4 linked regions of the Oryzias latipes genome follow. The protein of the gene in region 2 purifies or fractionates together with the protein of the main gene of each other region. This does not show direct contact. Links are inferred from orthologs where the notes say so. Each region holds a gene or a part of one and is shown on either strand. Other genes may lie near its edges.

Evidence for each region. Proteins that work in one complex are often made in the same cells at the same time.
Region 1: the proteins of nfkb1 (region 2) and rnf123 purify together in Homo sapiens (affinity purification with western blotting; 4 studies listed by BioGRID). This does not show direct contact. The link is inferred for Oryzias latipes from reciprocal best matches to the Homo sapiens genes NFKB1 and RNF123.
Region 3: the proteins of nfkb1 (region 2) and ikbkg purify together in Homo sapiens (affinity purification with mass spectrometry; 4 studies listed by BioGRID and IntAct, with this or other methods). This does not show direct contact. The link is inferred for Oryzias latipes from reciprocal best matches to the Homo sapiens genes NFKB1 and IKBKG.
Region 4: the proteins of nfkb1 (region 2) and nfkbie purify together in Homo sapiens (affinity purification with mass spectrometry; 4 studies listed by BioGRID and IntAct, with this or other methods). This does not show direct contact. The link is inferred for Oryzias latipes from reciprocal best matches to the Homo sapiens genes NFKB1 and NFKBIE.

The regions. Positions count from the first base shown.
Region 1 is NC_019863.2:20,439,249-20,442,748, forward strand, and holds part of rnf123 (E3 ubiquitin-protein ligase RNF123), read left to right. Parts: intron 1-348; coding exon 349-441; intron 442-509; coding exon 510-583; intron 584-667; coding exon 668-785; intron 786-1,747; coding exon 1,748-1,847; intron 1,848-1,954; coding exon 1,955-2,016; intron 2,017-2,166; coding exon 2,167-2,238; intron 2,239-2,314; coding exon 2,315-2,435; intron 2,436-2,984; coding exon 2,985-3,086; intron 3,087-3,500. UniProt on the Homo sapiens protein: Catalytic subunit of the KPC complex that acts as E3 ubiquitin-protein ligase. Promotes the ubiquitination and proteasome-mediated degradation of CDKN1B which is the cyclin-dependent kinase inhibitor at the G0-G1 transition of the cell cycle.
Region 2 is NC_019868.2:30,854,154-30,857,653, forward strand, and holds part of nfkb1 (nuclear factor NF-kappa-B p105 subunit), read left to right. Parts: intron 1-56; coding exon 57-208; intron 209-274; coding exon 275-438; intron 439-783; coding exon 784-942; intron 943-3,500.
Region 3 is NC_019865.2:4,847,836-4,851,335, reverse strand, and holds part of ikbkg (NF-kappa-B essential modulator), read left to right. Parts: intron 1-996; coding exon 997-1,071; intron 1,072-1,214; coding exon 1,215-1,400; intron 1,401-3,015; coding exon 3,016-3,077; intron 3,078-3,248; coding exon 3,249-3,296; intron 3,297-3,500. UniProt on the Homo sapiens protein: Regulatory subunit of the IKK core complex which phosphorylates inhibitors of NF-kappa-B thus leading to the dissociation of the inhibitor/NF-kappa-B complex and ultimately the degradation of the inhibitor.
Region 4 is NC_019882.2:5,904,989-5,907,310, forward strand, and holds part of nfkbie (NF-kappa-B inhibitor epsilon), read right to left. Parts: intron 1,843-2,322; coding exon 1,632-1,842; intron 1,408-1,631; coding exon 1,319-1,407; intron 760-1,318; coding exon 511-759; intron 1-510. UniProt on the Homo sapiens protein: Sequesters NF-kappa-B transcription factor complexes in the cytoplasm, thereby inhibiting their activity. Sequestered complexes include NFKB1-RELA (p50-p65) and NFKB1-REL (p50-c-Rel) complexes.

The sequences.
Region 1 (3,500 bases), on a different chromosome or scaffold from region 2:
TTTACCTGGCATTTGAAGCCCCTGAAACATTTGTTGCACTTCAGAATGATGCCATCTTAGATTTTCTTTAAAAACCCTTTTTTGCTCCCTATTCAAACTCAAATAAGCAACTTTACTGGAGTAAGTTTTTACCTTATTTGGAGCCCCTCTAACCCAATGGGTTTCACCATTTAGTTTCAAGCAAGGTCGCGCTGTTATATAAAAATTGGACAATAGATGGCACTTGTAGTTTACAAGAGATAAAAGTGCAAAAAGCATTTTCTCACAACTGTAGGTCTACACAAAGCAGGCTCTGTTGATGCTTCTTCCTCAGGTTGAAGCTCATCGTGTGTCATTTCTTCTCTGTAGGACCACGAGGTGAACGAATGTCTGAAGCAGCTGATGATGTCTCTGCTGCGCGCGTACCGCTTCTCCCCGATCATCCCGGACCTGGGTTTCCAGGTGAGACTCACCATCTGTCCCGCTCATAATTTGGCACTCACAGGCTGATAACGACTCATCTGTTTCAGATCCACTACCTGCGTTTGACCACGGCCATCCTTCGGCACGAGAAGTCTAGGAAGTATCTGCTCAACAATGTCTTATATCCTTTAGCTGCTGCTCTGCCTCAACTGACACTCAGCCTGAGCCTGTAAAACTCACTGTTGTCCCCTTAACCTACTGCTACGTTTGACGTGCTGCGGTCCGTCGTCTTCTTCTATATCAAGACCCCTCTCAGAGTGAAGGAGGCGGGGCTCGAGGAGCTCATCCCCACCACCTGGTGGCCCACGCATTTTGACAAAGAGGTGAGGCAGAGAAACAACCCTGACAGCAGACATTAGTGAAGCCACCTCTCCTGTTGTCAGATAAAAGACTACTTATCAGCAGACTGAAGCTGCTGCCTCGAGGTTACCTTCATTCACAGGCAGAGGGCTGAAACCATTGACTATATGAGAACTGGACCGAGTGAGTGTGATGTCACCCATAGAAAATGGCTCACTTCCTGCTCCAACCAAATGAAGTCAATGAAATCGCCATCTTTTCGCAATAAGGTCGCCACCAATGTTGGAGCCAGACGATGTCAGTAAGCAGTGATTGGTTCGAGTCGATCTTAGTCAATGCTTCACAACCACTCTAGCCAATCAGGAGTGAGCCTGTTGAAAGTCTATTCCCCTACTATTTAAAAGTGTGTGAATCTGTGTTTCTGTGTTTCGAACATTCAACGTGAGACCATATACTTTAATTGATGCATCTGATTGGTCAGTTCATAACTTCAATAACTTGCAAGAAAGAACAATTTCATGACAAAAATAAGGATTAGTATGAACATGTTAAAAAATATAGCAGATCAAGAAGAAAAATGGTTTATTTCTCAATAGAACCTTATGGGATTTTGGCTTGGAGCCAGCAGGTACTTCCTGTTTGGAACAGGAGGGGGAGGAGTCATACAGTCCAGTTCTCTTATACAGTCAAGGCTGAAGCTCTTTACTGAAGCCTCTGAAACACTTGTCATAAAAAAAGCTTTATTTAAAGAAAACATCAAAGGAGGAAAAGTCACAAGTACAAGCAGAACCCCTCTAAAGGTGCTGTTTTCTAGAAGGTTGAAAATTTGAAAATAAACATTTTATTGTGATAAAACTGTTCAAAAGGATCAGAAGAGGGTTTTCACAACTAAAATGACTTTTCTCTGCTTTTCAGTCCTCAATATGCTGCTTGGTTGGATTATAAAATATGTATTTCTTATAGCGTGATGTGTTCTGCTTTTCAGGGTAAAGACGAGCGCGAACCCAAAGATGAGAGCGCAGACGAGCGGCTGAGGCGGCGAGCTTATGAGAGAGGCTGCCAGAGGCTGAAGAAGAGGATCGAAGGTGCGATCTCAATCTTTTGCTTCACACTGTCAGACTGCAGGCTCAGCTCTTTACTCTGAAGCTTCTTCTTCTGCTGCTGGTCTCATCCCTCCTCTGTTCTCTGTCAGTGGTGGAGGAGCTGCAGATTCAGATTTTGAGGCTGCTGCTCAACAACAAGGACAAAACCACGGTACAAACACTATTTGTGTCTGCATATTCTTTAGGGGCAAATGTTCATTCATGCAGGTTCAGTCCTGCTTCAGCTGCACAGTTGGCATCTTCCTGAACCTTTTAAAATCCTTTACATACCCACAATCCTTTACTTTACTTCATTCTGCAGGGGGAGGCTTCCCGGTACATTTTCCTCAACAAGTTCAGGAAGTTTCTCCAGGAGAACGCCAGCAACAGAGGGGTAAGGACGAGCTGCAGTTTGTGGCTCAGACAACCTTAGAGCGCAATCCTGAGCTTGTGCGTTTGTGTGTGAGCAGCACCCCACTGCGCTGTGTCCCCCCGAGTACATGGTGTGTTTCCTGCATCGCCTCATCACGGCGGTGAGATCCTGCTGGAACGAAGCCTGCAGGAAGTCTCCGAGCAGCCTGAGCAGTGAAGGTAAGCTTCTGCTGTTGGGGTTTTTCTCCGTCGCTGCTACTTTCTGCTGCTCCAGTATCATCGAGAAACAAACAGAAAGATCTTGAGGCACAACCGAGGAAATGAAAGAAAAAATGCAGCATCTTCCTGGGGAGCTGGAGAAGAAAGAGACTGCTGAGTCAGAGCATCTCTGCTTGGTTCTGCTGCTGTCGCCGCTCACGATGCACGATTAGGTTATTGCGATTCAGAATGACCCACACAAGACTCAAATTGTTGATCTGAAGTGTTTCTCTGCCTCACTTCTCTGTTGGATTTCAAAGACACTGCAGACTATTCCCTTTGTTGAGTTAGACACGCAGTTTTTAATTATTCCTGGCTAGTGGTTTTTCTTAATACAGAAGGGAACTGCTGTAATTAAATTTGAAGTCTGATCATTCGGTAAGTGTATGACTCCTGAGGCATTCTCAAAACAACATTCCATATTTATTACTAAGAGCTTGTGACACAGCCGTCTGAATGAATGAACTTTGTGATGTTTCTGATAATCTTTTTTCTTCTCTTCCTCTGCAGATGCTTACGTCCCTCCTCAGCTCTTCTACAATGGAAAGGTGGACTACTTTGACCTCCAGAGACTTGGAGGACTTCTGTCCCACCTGAAGAAGACTCTCAAAGGTTTGCAGTAGAAGTTTTTTAATTCTATTGTGATTTTAGCATTTAGTTAAAACCAGAATCATTAACCTTTTAACACTAGAGTTGTCGTGGCGACACCTCCTTGACCTATCCTAACTTTGTGACCATTCAACGATCAGCATGAATCAGCCGATTGGACGCAGAGAAAAGCAGGTTTTCTCTTCACCTTTGCACCAAAATGCAACACTTATTGAACGTAAAGTGTTGCATAACAGCACAAAGCCGCTCTTTCTAATGTCAGAATGAGCACATTTAAGCTGATTGTGTAACATTCATTCAGCAGTAAGTAACACTAAACTTTACAACTGTAAAGTTTTGCATATCGGTGCAAAGCTGTTTTGTTCTGAGGGTTAAACTTAACTAAAAAGTCAAAGGGATAAACAAACCACAAAAGAC
Region 2 (3,500 bases):
CTTTTCCTCAGCTCTATTTTTGTCAGACATGACACTTTTAGTGTTCTGTGTTTCAGATCTTCAACTATCAGGGCCAGGCTCGGGTGGTGGTCCAGTTGGTGACGGCGCTGACCTCCAGCCCACAGCTTCACGCTCACAGTCTGGTGGGGAAACAGTGCGATAAAGGAATTTGCATCGCCGACCTGCAGTCCAAAGAAGCCACCATCAGGTGTGCGCCTTATGCCGTCGGCCTGAACGTGTTAAACCAATGACGCTCACGTATGTTTCCTGTTAGTTTTCCTAACCTGGGGATCCTCCATGTGACCAAGAAGAACGTGGCCAAGACTCTTGAGGAGAGAATGATTGAAGCGTTCAGGATGGGCTACAACTGCAGCATCTCCATCCATCCAGAGATCGACGCCGTGCAGGGGGAGGTCCGCGTCCCGCGAGAGCTCAGCGGTCAGTGAAGGTTTCGGGTCTACAGGTCCCACCTTTGATTCTCGTAACCCCTAAACAGAGCTCTTCTGTGAAGTAGCTGAACATTTAGTACAAATGGTGCAACGATGAACTAGATAAAACTGTTAATTAGTAAAAGTAGGTGACAATTAGTCCTGTGGGAAAGCTTAGATACTGCAGCATAAGTTCATTTTGAGCTAGAAGTTTTTGTAATTATGATCCTTGCTTACATGAAAAATTCTAAAAAAAAAAAGGATTTTCTCCTGAAATCTTTGTTGCAGTACGGCAGTAAGGTAAAACTACTCCTGTGATATTGCATTTTCATGGTTCCCATCTGTGTGTCCTCAGACCATCAGCGCTGTGTGATCAGCAGTGCAGCGGCCAGCCAGGCCAAGGAGATGGACCTCAGTGTGGTTCGCCTCATGTTTACGGCGTTCCTCCCCGACAGCGACGGGGGCTTTACCCGACGACTGGAACCTGTGGTGTCCGAGCCGATCTTTGACAGCAGTGAGTTTCAATCCACTCATCCGGAGCGAAGGGAGAGAGCGGGAATCTAACGATGTTTAGGGTCTGCTGGGTAGGGGGGGGGGCAGGGAGGAGCAGCAGGAGCTCCTTCACATGTCAGAATCTGAGGACAAGTTAGAGTCCTGGTTAGTCCTGGTTAGACCTGATTAGTCCTAGTCCTGGTTAGACCTGGTTAGTCCTGGTTAGACCTGGTTAGTCTTGGTTAGACCTGGTTAGTCCTGGTTAGTCCTGGTTAGTCCTGGTTAGACCTGGTTAGACCTGGTTAGTCCTGGTTAGACCTGTTTAGTCCTGGTTAGTCCTGGTTAGACCTGATTAGTCCTAGTCCTGGTTAGACCTGGTTAGTCCTGGTTAGACCTGATTAGTCCTAGTCCTGGTTAGACCTGGTTAGTCCTGGTTAGACCTGGTTAGTCTTGGTTAGACCTGGTTAGTCCTGGTTAGTCCTGGTTAGTCCTGGTTAGACCTGTTTAGTCCTGGTTAGTCCTGATTAGTCCTGGTTAGTCCTGGTTAGTCCTGGTTAGACCTGTTTAGTCCTGGTTAGTCCTGGTTAGACCTGATTAGTCCTAGTCCTGGTTAGACCTGGTTAGTCCTGGTTAGACCTGATTAGTCCTAGTCCTGGTTAGACCTGGTTAGTCCTGGTTAGACCTGGTTAGTCCTGGTTAGACCTGGTTAGTCTTGGTTAGTCCTGGTTAGTGCTGGTTAGACCTGGTTAGACCTGGTTAGTCCTGGTTAGACCTGGTTAGTCTTGGTTAGACCTGGTTAGTCCTGGTTAGACCTGGTTAGTCCTGTTTAGTCCAGGATAGACCTGGTTAGACCTGGTTAGTCCTGGTTAGTCCTGGTTAGTCCTGGTTAGACCTGATTAGTCCTGGTTAGACCTGATTAGTCCTGGTTAGACCTGGTTAGTCCTGGTTAGTCCTGGTTAGACCTGGTTAGTCCTGGTTAGACCTGATTAGTCCTAGTCCTGGTTAGACCTGGTTAGTCCTGGTTAGACCTGGTTAGTCCTGGTTAGACCTGGTTAGTCCTGGTTAGACCTGGTTAGTCCTGGTTAGACCTGGCTAGTCCTGGTTAGACCTGGTTAGTCCTGGTTAGACCTGGTTAGTCCTGGTTAGACCGGTTTAGTCCTGGTTAGTCCTGATTAGTCCTGGTTAGTCCTGGTTAGTCCTGGTTAGACCTGTTTAGTCCTGGTTAGTCCTGGTTAGACCTGATTAGTCCTAGTCCTGGTTAGACCTGGTTAGTCCTGGTTAGACCTGATTAGTCCTAGTCCTGGTTAGTCCTGATTAGTCCTGGTTAGACCTGGTTAGTCCTGGTTAGACCTGGTTAGTCTTGGTTAGACCTGGTTAGTCCTGGTTAGTGCTGTTTAGACCTGGTTAGACCTGGTTATTCCTGGTTAGTCCTGGTTAGACCTGGTTAGTCCTGGTTAGACCTGGTTAGTCTTGGTTAGACCTGGTTAGTCCTGGTTAGACCTGGTTAGTCCTGTTTAGTCCAGGTTAGACCTGGTTAGACCTGGTTAGTCCTGGTTAGACCTGGTTATTCCTGGTTAGTCCTGGTTAGACCTGGTTATTCCTGGTTAGTCCTGGTTAGTCCTGGTTAGACCTGGTTAGTCCTGGTTAGACCTGGCTAGTCCTGGTTAGTGCTGGTTAGACCTGGTTAGACCTGGTTATTCCTGGTTAGTCCTGGTTAGACCTGGTTATTCCTGGTTAGTCCTGGTTAGTCCTGGTTAGACCTGGTTAGTCCTGATTAGTCCTGGTTAGACCTGGTTAGTCCTGGTTAGACCTGGTTAGTCCTGGTTAGACCTGGTTAAACCTGGTTAGTCCTGGTTAGACCTGGTTAGTCCTGGTTAGACCTGGTTAGTCCTGGTTAGACCTGGTTAGTCCTGGTTAGACCTGGTTAGACCTGGTTAGTCCTGGTTAGTCCTGGTTAGACCTGGTTAGACCTGGTTATACCTGGTTAGTCCTGGTTAGTCCTGGTTAGTCTTGGTTTGGTTAGTCCTGGTTTGTCCTGGTTTGTCCTGGTTAGACCTGGTTAGTCCTGGTTAGACCTGGTTAGTCCTGGTTAGACCTGGTTAGTCCTGGTTAGTCCTGGTTAGACCTGGTTAGTCCTGGTTAGACCTGGTTAGTCCTGGTTAGTCCTGGTTAGACCTGGTTAGTCCTGGTTAGACCTGGTTAGTCCTGATTAGTCCTGGTTAGACCTGGTTAGTCCTGGTTAGACCTGGTTAGACCTGGTTAGTCCTGGTTAGACCTGGTTAGTCCTGGTTAGACCTGGTTAGACCTGGTTAGTCCTGGTTTGTCCTGGTTTGACCTGGTTAGTCCTGGTTAGACCTGGTTAGTCCTGGTTAGACCTGGTTAGTCCTGGGTATGGATGGCGCCCCCACATGAACATACGTTTTCAGCATTTCTGCCCAAATCAAAGCGTTTCCTGGAGTGACAGCTACCAGAGTGTGAACCAGGATAACCGAAGGTTTAATCTTCTGATTTTGGAGGAGACAGAACTGCATGCTGGGAAGGGAAGAAGCAGCTTTCTGTAAAGTTCAGCTGGTCCTCAAT
Region 3 (3,500 bases), on a different chromosome or scaffold from region 2:
AGTTGAAGGACAAAAACAACTTTCTTTAAAAGAAAAAAAAGGATAAAACTGTTTGAATAAATATGTTTGAGCTGAGTAGTGTCCTGCAAATTGACGATAACATCATAAACATAAATATTATTGCTTCACTTGCCAAAAATTCAGGTTTTTGCTGCATAGTGAACTTTGTGTGTTGACAGTCAGTTTTGCTAATTCGGGTTTGTTCCCTCAAAGATCCGTGTTCTCGTTTGGAGCATCTGCCAAAACTTAGGGACCACAGATCCGCAGCAATAAAAAAACCACGAATGGTCTTGCTTTGTCAAGTCATGGAAAGTTGGGATGTTGGGATCCCGAGTCTCTTAGGACAAATCCATTTATGAATCAATTTGGGGTCCGGACTGACTCCTCCTTAACCCCAAATTTCCACCTTTTCTCTAAATGCTTCCAAAAGCCCTGTAGTGCAGCATCTCTCCGCTTGGAGTCGAAGCAATTCATTCAGATGAAAGTCTGCTGGTGTGACCTCCATTACCACCAGCAGGCAGCGTGGTCAGAGCTACAGTTTGGTGCAAAATGTTTGCAGGAGTTCCCCATATTGTCAGTGAATCTGAATGGATTGCAGAAAGCTATCTTGATCATCCTAGTCCAGGATTTCTCCTGGAGTGACCTTAGCTGGATGACTAAAACATGTCCAGATACGTCTGCAGACACCGTTTGGTTTTTGTCTCAGGAATGGAGGCGCTCGTCTGGTTTAGGAAGTAGCTTTACTGACAGAAGTCTCTTCAGGATTAAGCCACAAAGATGACAGTCGACCGTTCACTTGTCTCAGCTCTTTTTGAATTTTTTATGTCGTCTCTGCATCCATGTTTTTCTTTCAATTAAAATTTTATACTGAAGCTTCAACCTTAACTATTAAATGCAGAAGCTTTTATTTTGTAACATCTTACAGATTATAATCTTTAACCAAAATAGTTTATTTCAAAATAAATTCAGTTTTTTTGTTGATTTCTTTCCTCTCAGACTCTTGATCAGTGGGAGAGGAAAAGAGCTGACGAGACCGAACAGCGAACACAAACCACGCCCCCTCGCAGCCTGGTGAGACGGTCTGCGCGCCAGCTTCCTGCTTCTCTGCACACTCCTGTCACTGCATAGACACTTGCCTCCCTGTTCGACAGTTTTGTGGCTCATTGATAGTCTATCTGTGTCTTAGCTTAATGCAGCTGTCTGTTTGTCTGTAGCCGTTAGAGGGAACAAACGACTTCCTGAAGCTGCTGAAGAGCCACAAGGAGCAATTGGAGGAAACGATGAGAGACCTGATGAAGAAGAACGAAAATCTGGAGAGGGAGAAGGAGGAGGGAGAGAAGGAGAGGGATCGGATGCGGCGCTGCATCGACCAGCTGAGATCCAAACTGCTGCACACGCAGGTGATGCAGAGTCCAGAAAAAATCCAGATCTTTCTCTCCTTTTTGCACATTGTGGTTAAAAAACGGCCAGTTTTGGTCTTAATTTGCATCATGGCTGCTATGAATGATCCAACATTCACAGATGCTGTTAAATCTGTTGTGATCAGTTGGTCACTTGGCTACAAAAAAATACGTTTCTGATTGTGGAAAATTTTGAAAACACAAATAAAACGGAGCCTCTTGTTAAGTGAAGCAGAATATCTGACCCATGTTTGAGGAGGAGCTCATGTCCACGAACGCCAGACATCCAATCACGATGGCCTTTTTCCAGGGTCATGTAGACGGGAAAGTCCCATCATGCAATAGTGTTTCCTCGCTATAACGAGGTTCACTGTTTGCAGATTTTATTTCAGTGCAATTTTTGCATGCTTTTTTAAAATGATTTTTTACAGCACATTGTTTTCTGCGTCCTGATTGGCTGTAGACCTTTTGTGAATTGATCTCCTTTGTGCTATGTATCTTGTACAGAATGCATTTAGCTTTTCAGATCTTTGTTTTCATCCTAAAAAATTGGACTCAAGGTTTGAAGGAGTTTAAACAAGAGAGAGAAGTGTGAAAATGTTCATGTCTGTCTGAGAAAAGTGTATAAAGTGTTTAGTGAGGAGCTTTACAGCCTTAAAACATCTCCAATAATTGTACAAAATATGCTTACTTTACAGATTTTACAGATATATTTGTAAAATTTATTTATTCATTCATTCATCTTCTAAACCCGTTTTGTCCCTTTCGGGGTCACGGGGCTGCCGGATTCTATCCCGGCCACGTGTGGGCGAAGGCAGGGGACACCCTGCCCTGGACAGGTCTCCATTCTGTCGCAGGTCAACAATCACACACCCGTGCAGACTCACATTCACACCTTTGGACAATTTAGAGTAACCAAAAAACCTATGAAGCATGTTTTTTGGACGTTAGGAGGAAGTTCCTGGAGAAAACGCACGCATGCACGGGGAGAACATGCAAACACAGAAAGGTCCCCCATTGATGTTCTGTTTCAGTTTCCCCAGCCGGGACTTGAACCTGGGGCCTTCTTGTTGTGAGGCAAGAGCGCCAACCACTGCTCCACCCTGCAGCCCCATTTTTATAATTGGAAATAGTGTATTTCATAGTTTTACATCTGCGTAAACCTTTTGCAGGTTTGTAAACCTAATGCAGGATCCAGATTAGCGTTGCATAAGCACCGTCTCCTCCTGGCAGAGCACAGAGAACAGCATCAACACGTGACCTTTCTGACATGCTACTTTCCGTGTCCACAAAGCTAACGCTACGATCGTCAGCGTCGCTATATTTACAGAATACTCATGAATAGAGATTTTAAAAATTACAAGAAGTTTGGTCATTGCAAACGCAGATTTTCTGATGATCCCATTTCCAATATTTGCAGTTATTGATCACTCCTAGCAGGTATCTGGTTGTTGTGGGATGTTGTCAGTGGTGCTGAGGCAGGCAGATGTTTCACCTGCCTAGAAGGTTACTGACGACAAAACAAGAGTGACAAGAAGAAAACAGAGACTTTCCAACACGTCGCCCGCAGAAATCTGCAGCATTTACCTGACAGAGTCATGTGAATGTTTTTCAGGCCACTTCTGGCACCGAGGAGGTGGTTCAGCTCCGCTCGGAGGCTCAGCACTCGTCTGACTGGTAAGAGCTGCTGGATCTGGTCTCTTCCCGTTTGATCACTAACAGCACTAAACTGATTTTCTGCTGCCAACAAACCTGATTCTGTTTCTGCTCTGACACACACTCACATGCTTCTTTGGATCCACTTGAGATGTGCTCGTCTCCTTTCTCATCTTCTTGTCCCTTTTCCAGCTCTAGCCTGGCTAAGCTCACACAGCAGCTTCAGGCCACGCAGGGCAGGTGAGCCGGCGCCCTGTTTGGCTTTCTCTGTCTCCATATCTGCATGCTGCTCTACTGTCCCTCAACCAAACCTACTTTCCTCTGTTTGCTTGTAAATGAAAATGTTTATAGAATTTAAATTAGGGGAGTGACGATAACCGCATCACCGCACTTTTTTTTTGTTTAAAGTTTTTTACGGTTTATTACGGTTCTCTTTCACTCCGT
Region 4 (2,322 bases), on a different chromosome or scaffold from region 2:
ATAACCACAGATTTGTGATTTTATTGCAAACTGCACCAATTGGATCTCTCCAAAGAAGTTTTCCAGCCATTTAAATACCTAAAAAAATATATATAAAACTTTATCAATTTATTCATTTTGGATTTTAATTGAATTATCTTTGGATATTTTTTGGCCATAAAATTACTTTTTTTTTAATTCAAAGATAACTTCATTTCTTGAAACAAAGGCAAGTAAAAAAACTAGCTAGGCTGCCAGATTCTAAAAAATCTTCTTTGTTTTCATTCTACATTACTGGACCTATTTGTCTATTAGGTTTCAAACGTTGAGAGTAGAAACAAAAACAGAGAAAAGTGATCAAATGTTCATGTCTATCTGAGAGAAGTGAACAAAGAGTGCGGCGCAGAGTTTACAGCTTTAATGGAACATAACTTCCACGATAAACGAAGGACCCCTGTAGTTTTAGAAGCAGTTCCAATAATTTTGTAACAGCTAGACAAAATCATTCCCGTTAGAAAATGAACTGCTTACATCATCGTTGCCGTCAGCCAGATCCAGCGCCGTCTCGTCCTCCATGTTCCGCAGCATCGTGTCGGCGCCGGCCTGGAACAGGAGGTTGGCGATGGCGATGTCTTGCCTCCCCACTGCCAGATGCAGGGGCGTGCAGCCGTTAAACATGGCAGCATCCACATTGGCCCCCCTGTTGAGCAGAAGTCTCACTGATGCGATGTCGTGCATCTCCACCGCCAGGTGAAGGGCCGTTTTGCCACTCGTTCCTTCCTGCAAGAAAACGGACGTTCATGTCATAATTATGCCAGATCACTGAGCTGCACTGACAGGCATCAAAATAGCAGGGTGATAATTACAAAAATGATTCATGGCTGCAGACGCAGACTGATATGTTGGGACGGTGATTCAAACAGAGAGGAATGTCTGGGGTAGTTAGGGGAATGACCGCAGCGTTCCCTTCCATCTATAGAAAGTTAAGACAGACCGGCTGACCGGCCTAATCATATCTCATATCTAATTATGTCTCCATGAATTCTGCGGGAAATCCAAAGCTCAGCCTGTGTCAATATCAGCGTCGCGCAGGTGCAGGACGCTTTAAACGGGAACCAAAGATGCTGCAAACGGCACTTGAAGGGAACAAAAGTGGTAAATATATACTCAGATTATTTGTTTTTTGAGAAAATACATCATTATTTTTGTACGTTTATGCAGGAATTGGTTTCATGGAGCTCCAGACTAAAAATAGTGTCCGGTTTTGGAGGGGGTAAATTTCATTTGGTTTTATCAGCTGTGTTATAAAAATGAACCGTAGAGGAGGCGTTGGACTAACCTGAATGTTCAGATCTGCTCCTTTTTTCACCAGGAGGTTCATAATTTGGTGTTTCCTGTTAAGTGCAGCCAGGTGAAGACAAGCGAGACCTGCAAGCACAATCATCTTTATTTAAAGGTTTGGAAAAATAAATATATATATATATATATATATCTAGATCTATATAGATATATATCACATATGTATCACATTTTACCCTAAAGTGTTAACACAACAGAAAATGTTGCATTTCAGACAAAAAAAAAAAAACTTCTTTTAGATACAGAAACTGAGATAGAACGAAGGCTATTTTTTTGACGGGCATTCTTCTGACCTCTCCAGTTTTGAATCTTGAGGACCGGCTCTAGCGTGCTGGGACAAAAGTCCTGGGTCATCTCCGAGGCGCACTCCTTCTGCCCGTGCTGGCAGGCCACGTGGAGCGCCGTGTTCCCGTCCTGGTCCTGCAGCTCCAGGCTGGCCCCTTTCCTTGTCAGGTCCCTCACCACGTCTGTCAGGTTTAGGTAGGTGGCAAGGTGGAGAGGACTCTGCAGAACACCAGCAGGGTTCAAACAAAGCAGCGAAAACATACGTGTAATCAGACACAAGCAAGAAGAGAGAGTGAAAAGGAAAAAAACAGATCGGAGAAACTGAAAGTTGAACTATCGAAGCAAACGGCTGCTCTGACCGGGCTGCAGATGCAGAGCGTGACGCCTCTGCTACTTTCCTTTCGTAATTACTTTTTTTATTTTTTTTTAAATATCAGTTTTGCGTAAGACACATGATGAGAAGCATTGAGTCTTTACAAGATTCTTAAGCAATAAAAGAAAAATTCTTAGTAAGGAGAGATCTAAGAATGACTGAAAGGAAATGTGAGGCAACCGAGAGCTGAGTCAGTGCACAAAGTGCTGACTCCACACTTCAGATGTTTCCAAATGACAGCTCCGTCCGTCACTTCAACTGAAGCCTTCGTCGAGCTTCTTGAAGGACTGGAACGACTCCTGTGCCCGCATCCCCACCATGTCGCA